Arabidopsis thaliana: one gene and its partner. The protein of the gene in region 1 interacts with the protein of each later gene in a pairwise test. Each region holds a gene or a part of one and is shown on either strand. Other genes may lie near its edges.

The links. Proteins that work in one complex are often made in the same cells at the same time.
Region 2: the proteins of SPP (region 1) and BTI3 interact in a two-hybrid assay, tested with the Arabidopsis thaliana proteins (one large-scale study listed by BioGRID).

What each region holds. Positions count from the first base shown.
Region 1 is NC_003071.7:934,836-942,429, reverse strand, and holds SPP (signal peptide peptidase), read right to left. Parts: upstream 5,048-7,594; 5' UTR 4,877-5,047; coding exon 4,837-4,876; intron 4,529-4,836; coding exon 4,413-4,528; intron 4,319-4,412; coding exon 4,167-4,318; intron 4,084-4,166; coding exon 3,998-4,083; intron 3,739-3,997; coding exon 3,611-3,738; intron 3,472-3,610; coding exon 3,421-3,471; intron 3,305-3,420; coding exon 3,218-3,304; intron 3,119-3,217; coding exon 3,049-3,118; intron 2,935-3,048; coding exon 2,798-2,934; intron 2,699-2,797; coding exon 2,621-2,698; intron 2,437-2,620; coding exon 2,347-2,436; 3' UTR 1,879-2,346; downstream 1-1,878. Other genes in the region: AT2G03140 (alpha/beta-Hydrolases superfamily protein), read right to left, coding at 1-430; AT2G03130 (Ribosomal protein L12/ ATP-dependent Clp protease adaptor protein ClpS family protein), read right to left, coding at 1,354-1,686; AT2G03110 (putative RNA-binding protein), read right to left, coding at 6,455-6,535, 6,618-6,998. UniProt on the Arabidopsis thaliana protein: Intramembrane-cleaving aspartic protease (I-CLiP) that cleaves type II membrane signal peptides in the hydrophobic plane of the membrane.
Region 2 is NC_003076.8:16,633,646-16,639,805, reverse strand, and holds BTI3 (VIRB2-interacting protein 3), read right to left. Parts: upstream 3,778-6,160; 5' UTR 3,577-3,777; coding exon 3,375-3,576; intron 3,158-3,374; coding exon 2,977-3,157; intron 2,898-2,976; coding exon 2,756-2,897; intron 2,672-2,755; coding exon 2,602-2,671; intron 2,513-2,601; coding exon 2,334-2,512; 3' UTR 1,898-2,333; downstream 1-1,897. Other genes in the region: CHX18 (cation/H+ exchanger 18), read left to right, coding at 17-1,252; AT5G41590 (LURP-one-like protein (DUF567)), read left to right, coding at 5,910-6,160. UniProt on the Arabidopsis thaliana protein: Plays a role in the Agrobacterium-mediated plant transformation via its interaction with VirB2, the major component of the T-pilus.

The DNA.
Region 1 (7,594 bases):
CCTCTGTGACAAGTCTATCGCTTAAACTCTTCTCAGAGTCATCATCAAAGGAGAGCAAAGAACAACGAAGAAGAACAAATCTGTTAAACGGCGTCGGAGTGGTGAAAAGAATCCATTCCCCAACAACAACATCATCAACGATTTTATCACTAATCTTCTCCAAAGACTTTCCAAAAAACCTCGACGATAAATAAACGGCTAAGCCGGAAGCGATTCCGGCGAGAGATGGAGCTAAGGAGGAATCGAGAGGAACGCTGCCATCGAAAGGCGGAGGGAAAATTGACGAATTCACAAGAACTAAATTCCGACTCTGTCGTTTAAAACGAGCTCCTCGCTTCCTGCTACGGCGGAGTATAAATGGAGACGCGGTGGTTATTCTCGCCGGTGGAAATTGAAGAAAAATAGAAGAAGAGGACGACGACGAGTACATCTTGAATTTCAAAAGCAGAAATTTTTCTGGGAAGTAGACATAAGAGAGGAACAAGCAATTGTGAATCTTCCGAATTTGTTGAAGATAATAAGTTTGTTTGTGAAGAAGAATACACTCGATTCCAACATTGTAGAGTTTTTTAATTTTTGTTGGGAGTAAACAACGATGTTAAATAGGACACGCACATTGTTAAACAAAAAAAAAGAAAAGGACACGCACATTGTCAAATGTACCAACTTTAAATGGGCTCATATAGCCCATTAGTGTAAGTGCTTGAAACAGAGAAGCTGAATATTTTTGATGGGAAATAAAAGTTCAAGATTTGACTTGAGATAGCAACCAAAGATGGTAGAAGGAAATGAACAATCACACTGTTTTAGTAAACTAATTGGTCGGGTCATGTGGATATGGCAACGGATCCTCCTAGGCCTAAGTTCGGAGATGTAAATATTGACATCTCCAAGTGAGAATATTTCACTTCTTGGTAAAATCTATTGTTATATGTCTTTTAACTTTCAACACGCAAACAAAGTGTTGGAGGTTTGTTTTTTTTGGTATGTCCCTAGTTTTGTAACCTTTGTGTTTAGGTACAATGACATTTTTCTGTGTTTGCTACATTTTTTCAGTTTCTAATCTTGCATATCTTGCAAGATCTTGATATCAACACAAATTAGTTGTGCTGTGGAGTCAGGCCAAATAAATGAGCAAAGTAAGAGAACTCTCACTGGAGATCATTAAAGCCATGGAATAACAACAAAGTTCCCAAATTTATCGATTATTATTATGCCAAGAAGAAGGACTTGCGATACATGTTAAACAAGCAAAGATACATTGGTTTAGTTAATCTCTTTATAAAAAAAAAACATTAGCAATGAGAAAGCCTAATTGAGCTAATAAGCTCTTATTAACGGTATCATCATCCATCAGCTTATTAGATGGAACAAACTGTTCCAAAACAGACTTGGAATATCACTCACTCTAGTCTGTAAAACAGCTTCAGCACCAAGTGCATTCAACTTCTCAACGACCTCCTCTCCTTCTTCTTTTGAAAGTCCTGTTTTCAAAACCGTAGGAGCCTTCACCACCAATTTCATAGCTTCCTTAAGACCCACACCAATGATTCTCCTTACCTCCTTAATGATCTTGATTTTCGCACGTGCCTCGAAAGACTCAAGTTTAACCTCAAACACAGTCTTCTCCGCTTTAGCTCCCTCATTGGCACCACCACCACTTTGGCCGTCCCTCAGTACTCTCATTTTGTTTGATCTTTGATACGTGCTTGTTCCTTGGCTTTAGCTCTAGACCTAATCACAAACTTAAACCCCAAACCTACTCTCTTTTTTTTTAACATTAAGATTTTTCTCTACATTTTTATTCAACTTACATATACGTTATATATTATTAAACACACAACTTGCTCTCCAAGCAATAATTGTACTAGATGTCAGAAAAAAAAAAAAAAAAAACATTAAGTGTAGAGTTTCTATCTAGCTTTTTTTTGTCTCCAAATAGCTCCCCAAGCAAAAATGTCCCTTTCTCAGCACAGATTATGTTCATAACTTTATCATCATCATGTGCTATTCTTTGCCTCTCACTGTTCATATCCTTACCACGTTGTCTACAATAGCTAAAAAGCTCATATTTCGAATTCTGTTCGAAATGATATATAACTTCCAGTCTCCTAACGAATTTAACATAAAACAGAAAGAAAAGTCAAAGAAAATTTGTTGTAACTTATAGTAACTTACACAAGTCTTGGCCAAAAGAAAGTTTGAAAATCTAAAAAAACAAAAAAGGGGTTAGAAGGGACTGATTGATGATCATTTGGAAACAAAATTGTTTTCCTTCTTGTTCCATATATTAAGACACATTTATGTGTATATATTTCTCCTCTGCCCTTCTTTCTCGATTTTTCCTCATTCATCATGAGCTTTATTAACCTCCTCACTAGTCTTTGATTCATCAGTCGTTGCTTCCTCTGTCTTTGATTCATCAAACGCCAACAACTGCAACAGCAACAAAACAAAGAAGAAGAAGAAGACCATAAGCTCACTAATCCTTTACATCTTAATCTACAACCAAAAACACGATAAGCAAACAGAAGGTAACAGGAAGGTTCTTCTGTTTGGGTTGCATAATTGCGTTTACAACAATAGATACATCGAAATCTAGAAGGACTAGAAAACAAACCGGTTTGATGTCACCGTTCCAAATGCAGTGAGAAGCCAAGAACCCAATTACGGCTGGGACAATGTATAACAAAGCAGGCTGAAACAAAGGCAAAACAAAAACAAAAACCTATCAGAGAGAAATCCCAAAATAAGGTTGCAATAAATAGATGACAACAATTAAGACACAAAAACTGACCTGTGCTGCTTGAAACCAGTTCATGACTACAATCGTGAGGATCACACCAACAGCGTATCCGATAAATGCACTTGTGAAGTATTGTGGTTGTCTACGTCTTGACACATCAAATCTTAGAGCTAGTGCAACGAAAATACCTAAAGGAAAACAAAAATTAATATCTTATATTCATATCATATCCAAAAATATGATTCAAGAATGCATAACCATAAGCTGAATATAGCTATTGGGTTAAGCATTAGAGAACATACCCGGAATGACAATGTCACCAAGACCAAGCATAGAATAGGGTCTTAGAGCATCACCCGTAGGGAATAAGAGCTGAAAGAAATATGTAACAATGAGATTACTGAAAAATTGACTAAGAACAAATCAGAATCAATTTGGTATGGTGTGTACTTTTGAGGCATTTTTACTAACCTTAATTGGAGCATCGAAGGATTTGGCAACACTAACCATAACTGGAGTAAAGAAAACCCAGAAGATATCATAGAAAAATAGTCCTGCCTGCAAGTCAAGCATAACAAACACCGAATGATTGAGTCATTTTCAAACGAATTTTCTTTTCATCTAGAAGTCCAAACAAGTTTTCAAGAATAGCATTCAAAAGATGCAGTTCTTACCAAAAGGATGGCACCAGTCTTGAATGATCCGAGAGAGAGCATCTCAATTCCCTGTATTGGCAACGGCATTAATTAGTAAAAAAAGAGACACTCAACAACAGTGACTCCAGTTCACTTTAAACTTAAATATTATGTTATAACAGTGAAGCTTCAGAGTTTATGTATTCCCATAAAGTGCAAGGGAAGTAACCTGAATGCAGAAGGAAAGGCCGAGGATATTGTTAGCCAGCCAATGTTTTTTCCACGCATACCACGCACAGAAGAATGTTCCAGGGATTCCCGCAACAACTTGGGACTTTGTGAACTCTACCTCCAAAGCTGTTTAGTAAAAAGGTGTTAGACATCAAAGAAAATAAGCACATCTCAACCAGAAGGATAGAACAATAACTGGATAGAGTAAGAAAAGTAAAAACAGATTTGAAAATGAGACAAACACCTAGGATCTTGAATGATCATTACATCAACCAAATAAGTATTCAAAGACTAGCACTAAGCAAACGATAACAAACAAACCCATAACTTATATAATGAGAAAAATGGCTACCAAAGAATACTGAAGGTAATCTTAGTTACGTACACTTGAAATAAGGAAAACGCCAGACGATAAGATTGTCATTCCAAGGATTTGGTAAAAATCTTCTGATGGCTGGTAACAATGTCGCTCTGCAAACACACATAACCGTGTCATGACTTGACCACAGATAAACAAATAAAAAAACAAAAGGCATGATTTAGATAAGACATACGAAAGAGCGACAATCCCAAGAACAAAGAAGTAAGCTGTTAGCACAGCATTAACCAAGTCCTTTGAGAGAAACTTGAACAATAAGAAAAGTGAGAGAAGCATAGCACTCCCAACCAATGGGAAACGCATGGCATGTTCTTTTGACATCGTCTCCTACACCATTTCAAACCAAAGAAACAATTTAGATCGAATTTGGAAAATTGTTTCACTAATAAAAAAAAACAATCTGATTGCGTCTTTGTCTTACCGTTGGAGGAGTATCCTTGACCGAACGAAAGCAACCCACATAAACAGTGATACATGCTGTGAGAATAACATTCAAATTTGGATTTACTCTCACAACGAGTGGTGCCAATGTCAAACCTGTAACCAAAACAAAAACAAAAACCACTCAGTTTTGAATCTTTACACCATAATCAAAAACAATCAATCACACCCATCAAGCCTAAACCCTAGAGAAACCAAACTGATCTAAAACGAACAAAAAAATAAATATTTTCCAGCAAATTCTAAGAACAAACCTAAAACCGAAAAAGTTAACAAATTCGAAGCCTAAATCACAATCAGAAGAAACCCATAACGCGAAACAATCACATGATCGTAAAAATCGATCGAAAATTGAAATTCACGAGACGAATTGTAACAATTGTAAGAGTGAAAGAGAGAAAAACCTGCGAGAGCGAGATTAGCAAATCTCTCACAATTCTTCATAATTGCTTCTTGTGTTTCGTTTTTACTCTATTACTCAGATGAATGTGTATATAGAGAGATCCAGTGGTGGGGTCAAAAGATAAAATTTCCACCAGATCTGTTAAAAAAAAAAAGATGAAGAAGAAGAAGAAGAGAAAGAGAAGAGTTAAGGAAAGAAAATTAAGATACTCGAAGACCACGAAAGTTACGGGACTGTGACCTAATTACGTGACAGACTTATTTCATTGGTAACGCTCACGTGTCTATGACATTACGTTCGCATTTTAATTGGTTGATTATTGCATTCATCACCACATCACACATGCATATCTGTTTTCTTTTATGGTTAGTCAATACAATGGTAACCGATACTTTTCTCCTTCAACGGATAACAAAACTGGAAACATATAAATCAATGTCAAAAATTCGCTAAAGACCTAATAAATAATCAATGTAAAAGTATTATATTGTATAGTTTTTAGTATTTTTTTTCTCTTTTAGTAAGTTTTTACACACAAAAAAACAAAATATTAGTGTGACATCTAAACAAAATTTGACTTATGGAAGTACAGTAAACGGAAAGAAAAGAAGGGAGCCGATTATATGTGACTCTTTCCACTGGTCTTGGTCCATTTGATTAAAATACATGAAAATCAACTATACTTTTAAGTGGATCATACCATTGGAACAATTGGCTGCAAGTTAGACACACTTAGTAGCAAAGACGCGTCCGAGTTCATAACAGTGCTTTGGAACCACTAATGATGAACAAGATTACTCAAATATAGTTAAATACGAATACGAAAAATGAAAGAAACATTGTATTCTTTCATGAAGATGACAAAAACAAAAAAATATATATATCATTCTTTTAAGAACTTCCTGCATTTGTAGATTCTTGAGGCGCAAAACTACTCGAATCCTCTTTTTTCTTGGATTCCAAAAAAACGCCCAAGTATTTTATAAAAAGTATATTCCAGAATCTAAGTGTTTAGAACATAGAAAGATAACCTTTTGACATGGTTTGGTGATCAATAAACTCGGTTTCTTATTGGGGAATTTACGTTCTGCAAAAGAAGAAAATAGACAGACATCATCAAAAATGAATCTCTATGAGTAAATTTGGTTACCAGAATCATATATTTTTTTATGACAATCATACCATTTGACCATAGTCTTCATTCCTAGCAAATTCCTCTGAACCATGAGGATGGTTCTCGCCTTTTCTGTGCCTAGACTTGCTCGAAGTCTATATTGTTTGAGAAATATAAGGAAATAAAGTTGGAAGCAAGACAAGACCACGATCCATGTCAAATACATTGGCTCTTAAACGCAGCATCACTTGTGTAAGAGCTTTGATTGCTGCATCAAGACTTCCTGTTATCTAAAACCACAAGATAAAGAAACATTGTTTAAGGGTCTCTTTCAAACACACAAAATCGACAAGCACTAGGCAATAAAGGGTGGTCATGATTTATTACTTGGACCATCTCCTCATTCTCACGAGCAATTTTTATGAGAGGTCGTTACTGCAGGATTCATCAGAATTCTACCAGGTTGATGTTGCAGTGTACTACTAGAGGAAGACAGAAAGTAGTTCTAAAATCGTGACGGATTATTATAAAGCAGAAAGGCAACTTGGTAAAGAGCTTCTCTAACAGCAGAAGGATCTCCAATTATCTGAAAGTCAACCAACAACAACATTCATAAGCTAAATCCGAAACACAACCACACACACTAACTCAAATCTCGAAGACATTACCTGAAGAAGCTCATCATGACTCAATGCCAAAGCACACATGGGTAGATTATCATTTCTAACACGAATCTGAGCATTAGTGTCATTACGCAGCGTTTGAATAATTGGTCCACCTTTGCCAATAAGATAACCAATTTGATCAGAAGGCACAAGCATCCTCACAGTAACAACTGTTTGTCCCTCACTATACTCATCATTGTCATTATAATCATCATCATCGTCAAATTCTTCAACAACAACCATATCATGAACCTTGAAAAGAGCATCAAAAGCAGGACAGACAAAATCCTCATTGTCATCTTCAATACGATTTCTCTCCTCGCTATTAGAATATATAGTCACAACACGCTCATCACAACCAGGCAATGCCTCGTTTACCCTCATGTTTGCTTTAGTCTCAGACCTAATCTATTTTGCAATCTCACCACCTCTCCCAAGAACTCCCTGCTCTTCTCACAAGACACAAGTAACGATACACAGTATCTTCTAATCCAGCACCATTATTATCTGTATCATCAGAAAAAAACTCTCTTACCTCTTATCAAATATGAAAACTAACTAAAACAAGATCTCTTACCATAATTGTTCCTTGAATGAGCCATTTTAGCAACGATTTAGTGAAACAAGTTCTGAAATCACAAAGCCAGAGGACGCTGAAGAACATACGAAACAGAAAATTAGGGTTTAAGTTAGGTTTCAAATAAGCAACAGAAACAAACATTCATAACACCAAAATCCTTCTTCGTTTCTCTATAGATAGATTATGTAAAGCTCACATCAAGAAACCTAATCAACGAAGATCAATACGAAAATCAATTCTCACGCAACCAACCGATCGATAAATCTTGATAGTACTTGAACATTGCTTAGAAAACGGAAAACTCGAAAACAGTAAACTGTTACCAGAGAATGAAACAACCGATGATCGGTGAATCCGTCCGAAGAAGCGTCGTCTCGCCGGAAAATGCAACGGCCTCTCT
Region 2 (6,160 bases), on another chromosome or scaffold:
TTTGTTGTGTCCTCAGGTTCTTAATGATCAGACATTTGCCATAATGGTTCTAATGGCTCTCTTCACAACCTTCATCACCACACCAGTCGTAATGGCAGTCTACAAACCAGCGAGAAGAGCGAAGAAAGAAGGAGAATACAAACACAGGGCAGTAGAACGAGAGAACACAAACACACAGCTTCGAATCCTCACATGTTTCCACGGAGCAGGAAGCATTCCTTCAATGATAAACCTCCTAGAAGCATCAAGAGGTATCGAAAAAGGCGAAGGGCTCTGCGTTTACGCTCTCCACTTACGGGAACTATCAGAGAGATCATCAGCTATTCTAATGGTTCATAAAGTTCGGAAAAACGGAATGCCGTTTTGGAACAGAAGAGGAGTAAACGCAGACGCTGATCAAGTAGTAGTTGCTTTCCAAGCTTTTCAACAGCTAAGCAGAGTCAATGTCCGACCAATGACAGCAATCTCTTCAATGTCTGATATTCATGAAGATATCTGCACAACAGCTGTAAGAAAAAAAGCAGCCATTGTGATTCTTCCGTTTCACAAGCATCAACAGCTTGATGGTTCGTTAGAGACTACACGTGGCGATTACCGTTGGGTTAACCGGAGAGTTTTGCTTCAAGCTCCTTGTTCGGTTGGTATATTCGTTGACCGTGGACTCGGAGGTTCAAGTCAAGTCTCAGCTCAAGATGTTTCTTACTCTGTTGTTGTTCTGTTCTTCGGTGGTCCTGATGATCGTGAAGCGTTGGCTTATGGATTACGTATGGCGGAGCATCCCGGAATTGTTTTGACTGTTTTCCGATTTGTGGTATCGCCGGAGAGAGTCGGAGAGATTGTTAATGTTGAAGTGAGTAACAATAACAACGAGAATCAGAGTGTGAAGAATCTGAAATCGGATGAGGAGATTATGTCTGAGATAAGGAAGATATCTTCGGTGGACGAATCGGTTAAGTTCGTGGAGAAACAGATTGAAAACGCCGCCGTGGATGTTAGATCGGCGATTGAGGAAGTGCGGCGGAGCAATTTGTTTTTGGTTGGTAGAATGCCAGGTGGAGAAATTGCATTGGCGATTAGGGAGAATAGTGAATGTCCGGAGCTTGGACCTGTAGGAAGCTTGTTGATTTCGCCGGAATCTTCGACAAAAGCATCGGTTTTGGTGATTCAGCAGTACAACGGCACCGGAATAGCTCCGGATTTGGGTGCGGCTGAGACGGAGGTATTGACTTCTACGGATAAAGACTCTGATTGAATGAATCATTGGTTAAAAACAAGAACGGTTCGGTTCGGGTCAGGGGTTGGTTTACCATAGTTAGTGAAAAGTTGGTTAATGAATACGGTTTAATCAAAATGACTGTACTTGGCTTTCACTGTTTCATCTTTTCTTTCTTTTTTGTCGTCACTGTTCATCTTTAAGTTTTTTTGCTTTTGAAAGTAAATGGTTAAATGATGACAAAAAAAAAAATAATGGTTGTTGTAAAAAAAGTTATCTACTTTAATCGGAAAAATAATAAATTTAAAAATCCAGTCATTGAACATAAAACTAAAAACAGAAATGTCAGAAGTGGGGTTTGAACCCACGCCCTCTTACGAGGACCAGAACTTGAGTCTGGCGCCTTAGACCACTCGGCCATCCTGACTTTTGATATTGTTTTCTACTACAAACTATATATAGTGATTAACACCTAGTTGTCTACCTTACGTATGTTGCTTACTTTAAGTAATTATCCAGATTTGATGGTTATCATACCGAAAGCGTTTGGTATTGTGGAATCCACTTTTTGTGTGATTATTTTTGTCGAGAAATCGTGAAATCGCAATTTTGGCAAAAGAATTATGAACAAATTTTTTTGGAAAATTATCAAATTGCGTTTAACCTAGTTCATATACCAATCATTTTAGCTTTTCCTATGAACAAGATGTTGAGATGATGAAAGAGATGGAATGGGAAGAATATTATTAGTCAAATAAAAACAAGAAAGATTCTTATGAACTAAAGTTAGATCGCAGTAGCAGTGAAGAGCGAAAAACCCACGAAACAATTTGAGTTTATGTGTATGGACCAATCCTCAGACATGATGCAAAATTGACATGACGAATACCATCATGGAGAGCTGTTAAAAGGATGAGAAATTAACTAAGACAAATAACTAACAACAATAATTATCATCCATCCGTGTTCTCTCATAATCTAAATATTTTTAGTTAAAACCCCCAAATTTATAATGAACATAATAATAACAAGAGATCAAAGGGTTTATCAACCAACAGCTTCTAACAAAACATGTCTTGAACCATTACTACGATTCCAATGAGAGAGTAACTCACATTCCTTAATCCTTCTTCTTGTTCAGAGCTCCTCTTGGAATCTTGCTTATGACCTTACGCAATACCTTCTCATCAAGTACTGCATATTGCTTTTTGATCTCCCTCATCGCCTTCTCCCCATAGGCATCTACTTTGTCCTCATACTTCTCGTAGAGTACAGGAATGGTGAAGAGAAGGACAGTAGCTGGAAGCAAGAAAGAAAAGCTGGTTATCAAGATATGCAAGTATGATTCCTATCAGATTAAATGCAGTAAGATGTAAATGAATCGTTACCAGTGTAGAACAATGTCAAGAAGTTGTAGCAGCTGCCAATAATGGACAAAACCCACAAGCCAGCAATTACCTAAAACATGTGCAAGCAAGTATTAGCATTTATGAGGAACATAAGAAAACCGCTTTGCATCGAGGTAGATAACATGAACAATACCAGGATAAATTTCTTGACATCTTTTCCTGATGCAATGTTCCTAAGAAGGGTCAAACCACGATTGATTTCAATCCTTAATCCAGAAACAAGTTGAAGAATAGGATCTTCAGGGATGTGAACTTCCGGGATGTGAGGAGTTGACCTGAGGATAAGAACTCAGTTGATCAGGCAGTTATCTCATACTTAACACTTAACATATAAGGGATGTTGTAAGAACATACTTGTGGATGAATGTACAAGCATTAGACCACAAGAACAATGCTGCAAGAGCAAAAATCGCAAAGTGACAGAGAAAAGCGAGGAGATGGTATTCGAATAACTCGAATAAGACCCAAGACGCAGTTACAGCACCCAAGACTCCACCAGATACCTTCTTGTTCCTCCAAAGGAATATATCAGCAGCTACATGCAAACAATGAATCCAGATTCAACATAGTTTCTGAGTATTTCACAAGATTTAAGCGTACTTTCGAGCAAAGCAGACAATTAAGCACTCAAATACACTCAATTTTAGCTTCAAATTAGAGCAACATTCACTAGATCGAGCAAAATCACTATGTAAGATACAAAATCGAGTAAAATCAGAGTTCAAAGTGAAGAAATAGAGATAGATCCATACGTTTTCCACCACCGAGAACCTTGTGAACAGGTTTCTCCCTTCCGAAAAGTCGGTAAATCTTTGACTTGAAGGACGACGACGAAGACGATGTAGATTTCTTATCGTCGTCGGAATCGGACAGAGAAGACGAGTCACCGTGGCCATGGATCTTCTCAACAATCTTCTCCAAGATCGATTCCTCGTGCTTGTGGTCTTCCACCATTTTTGTTGATTCTACAAACCTCCGAGAAGAAGAAAAAAAAACCTAAAACTCTTTACTGATTGAAGAGTGTGGGAGGAGACTGTGACGAATAAAAGCGTGTGCTTCAGATTTAATCCCACCCCTTGATTTAAAACATTTAATCCAGTCCGTTTGATTCGGGTCTGGGCCTCGAGTAGGTAACCGTCCACGGTGGAAAATCAAACTATTTATTTTGTAGCAGATGTAACATATTTGGCGTGGAACTAACGGTCGTTAATTAATGTGAATATTCCCGATAACGTCTCCGTTAGTGGAACGTTAGATGTCGGCGGATAGGATCCAGCATTGGGCCCATTTATGGGATTGTTGGTACAGTATTAAGGCCCATTTATTACTGATCCATTTCATAGTAAAAATAAAAAATTGTTAGGCATAGTAAAATTGTTATGAGAATATGTTGATAGAATGAAAATGCTCCTAGATGAAAGATGATCATACACCTGTTGATTAAACATTACAAGGTCACAGATTATATATATTGACATCTCAAAAATTAACCAAGACGCTGCGTTTTGGAGATATTGGATTTCGAAGACCCGGAAGATAAGAGGAGAATAGTCAGTGACTCTCACGCACGTGGGGTTTGAATTGATGACTCTGGTCTCTTGGCCTCGAGATCTAACTTCTTCCGTGGGATCCAATTTTGAGCTGAGTCATGACACGTGTTACAACACGTGTGCTCCACTGTGTCGACATCACTCTTGAAGGTAAGATTTTTTGGAGTAATGGCAAACCCAGAGATCAACAAAATCAGGTTTGACAATGAAAGCTCACTTATTTATTTATGTACTTTTCCAATAATTTGATTAGTCCAAATATATTATTCTATTTGGATATTCATTCATATACATAATTACATACACATGCAGTGTTAGAAGTGAGTTTAATATGGAAGATTCGTCGTCTAGTGTGACATGAAATTCCACCATTTCATATAATTAGATTTTCTTCTTATATATATAATTTTATGCATCTAATCGTGTGGATGAGAATTGTCCTTCACCTAACCAACCTTTTCGAAGAAAAAGAGAGATTTGTTTCTTAATATATCTTCAGAAAGAGAGAGAGATTCGATGACAAAAAGGATAAGAGATTCTTGGAGACCTCAAAAATCTACTATCGTGGGTCTAAGAAGATTACGTGGCTCGTTTTAAGACCCTTGCATAATCTTAAAGTTCTTACCTATTTTTTTTTTTTTGTCGTAAAGTTCTTACCTAATACAGTAATATATTTTTATATTGTATAAAATATTATACATTAATTAATCAAAAAAAAATTCCAATTCAATCCTGAAACAGTGAAACCCATGCGTGCCAAAGCCAAAAATCTGACTACCTTGCTAAGTGCTAATCATTACCCAATCAGAGTTCATATCAGGAATATACCATATCCATAAGAGCTATATACTAATTACTTGCAAAAGTTTGCACCAAACCTTACTACGTACAAAAGAAAAGATCGTAGATGGTCAAAATTGTGGCTTACTATAATGGCTTATTATATAGTTATTTTTAGATAGCTAAATTTCTTGTATATACAATTTTGAGTTTTACGTATAGAAAAAAATATCATATTTGAGTTTGGTAAAAAGGATGAGTAAATAATTTGGAGATTTCAACCTTCATGTTAAGTTTTCATTTTCGATTAATTTTATCTAATTTTTTATTTTAATTTCTTTGATAACCAAACAATGTAATTTAGACTAATCCTTTTGGACTTATAAAACAAAAACAATTTACTATATATGCAAGCTGTAATAGGGTGATTTGAGTTCTAGTCCACTAAATGTAAATGTTACGTACGTTAAATTTGTATTTGTAATGTGATAAAAAAAAATCTAATGACCTGTATTCATTAACTTAAAAAAAATTCTAATTAACTTATAGAATGGTATAATATCTTATCATATTGTATTATTTTTCAAATAACACTAAAAATTTTGACTCATAATTAATAAAACGTTTAAAGCTTTTTAGGTGAAATTCTTATTTTTATATTTTGTAGAATAGTACAGTTTTGTCACTAAGTATTATTTGTGGTCGCATTTAAATATCAAGTAGCGATATTTAAAAACTTTGCAAGTTGATATAAAGAAGAAAAAAATTATAATATAATAAGACAATGATATAATATAACAAAGCTAATATCTTTCATCCACACACATATATATTAGATCTATATATATATATCTCATATGTATACCTAACCTTACCATATTTGTATTGAGAATTGAGATTAATTAGATCTGTAAAACTCTCTTAAAATAGTTAACCAAGAACACCAAAACTACAAAAATGTTCCCTTTCTTGAAGCAACGGTCGAGGTCGGTCCACGGTGAAGATGCACCGTCATCTACAGAGTCCACAGTCTCCGTCGCTGCCGCAGATATTGGAGGAGCGTGTACGACACTCACGGTGTGGAGAAAATCGCTTCTGGTGAGTTGTGAAGGATTCACGGTGATAGATTCGAATGGAGATTTGATTTACCGGGTCGATAATTATGCCCGAACCCGACCCGAGGAACTCATCCTCATGGATAAAGATGG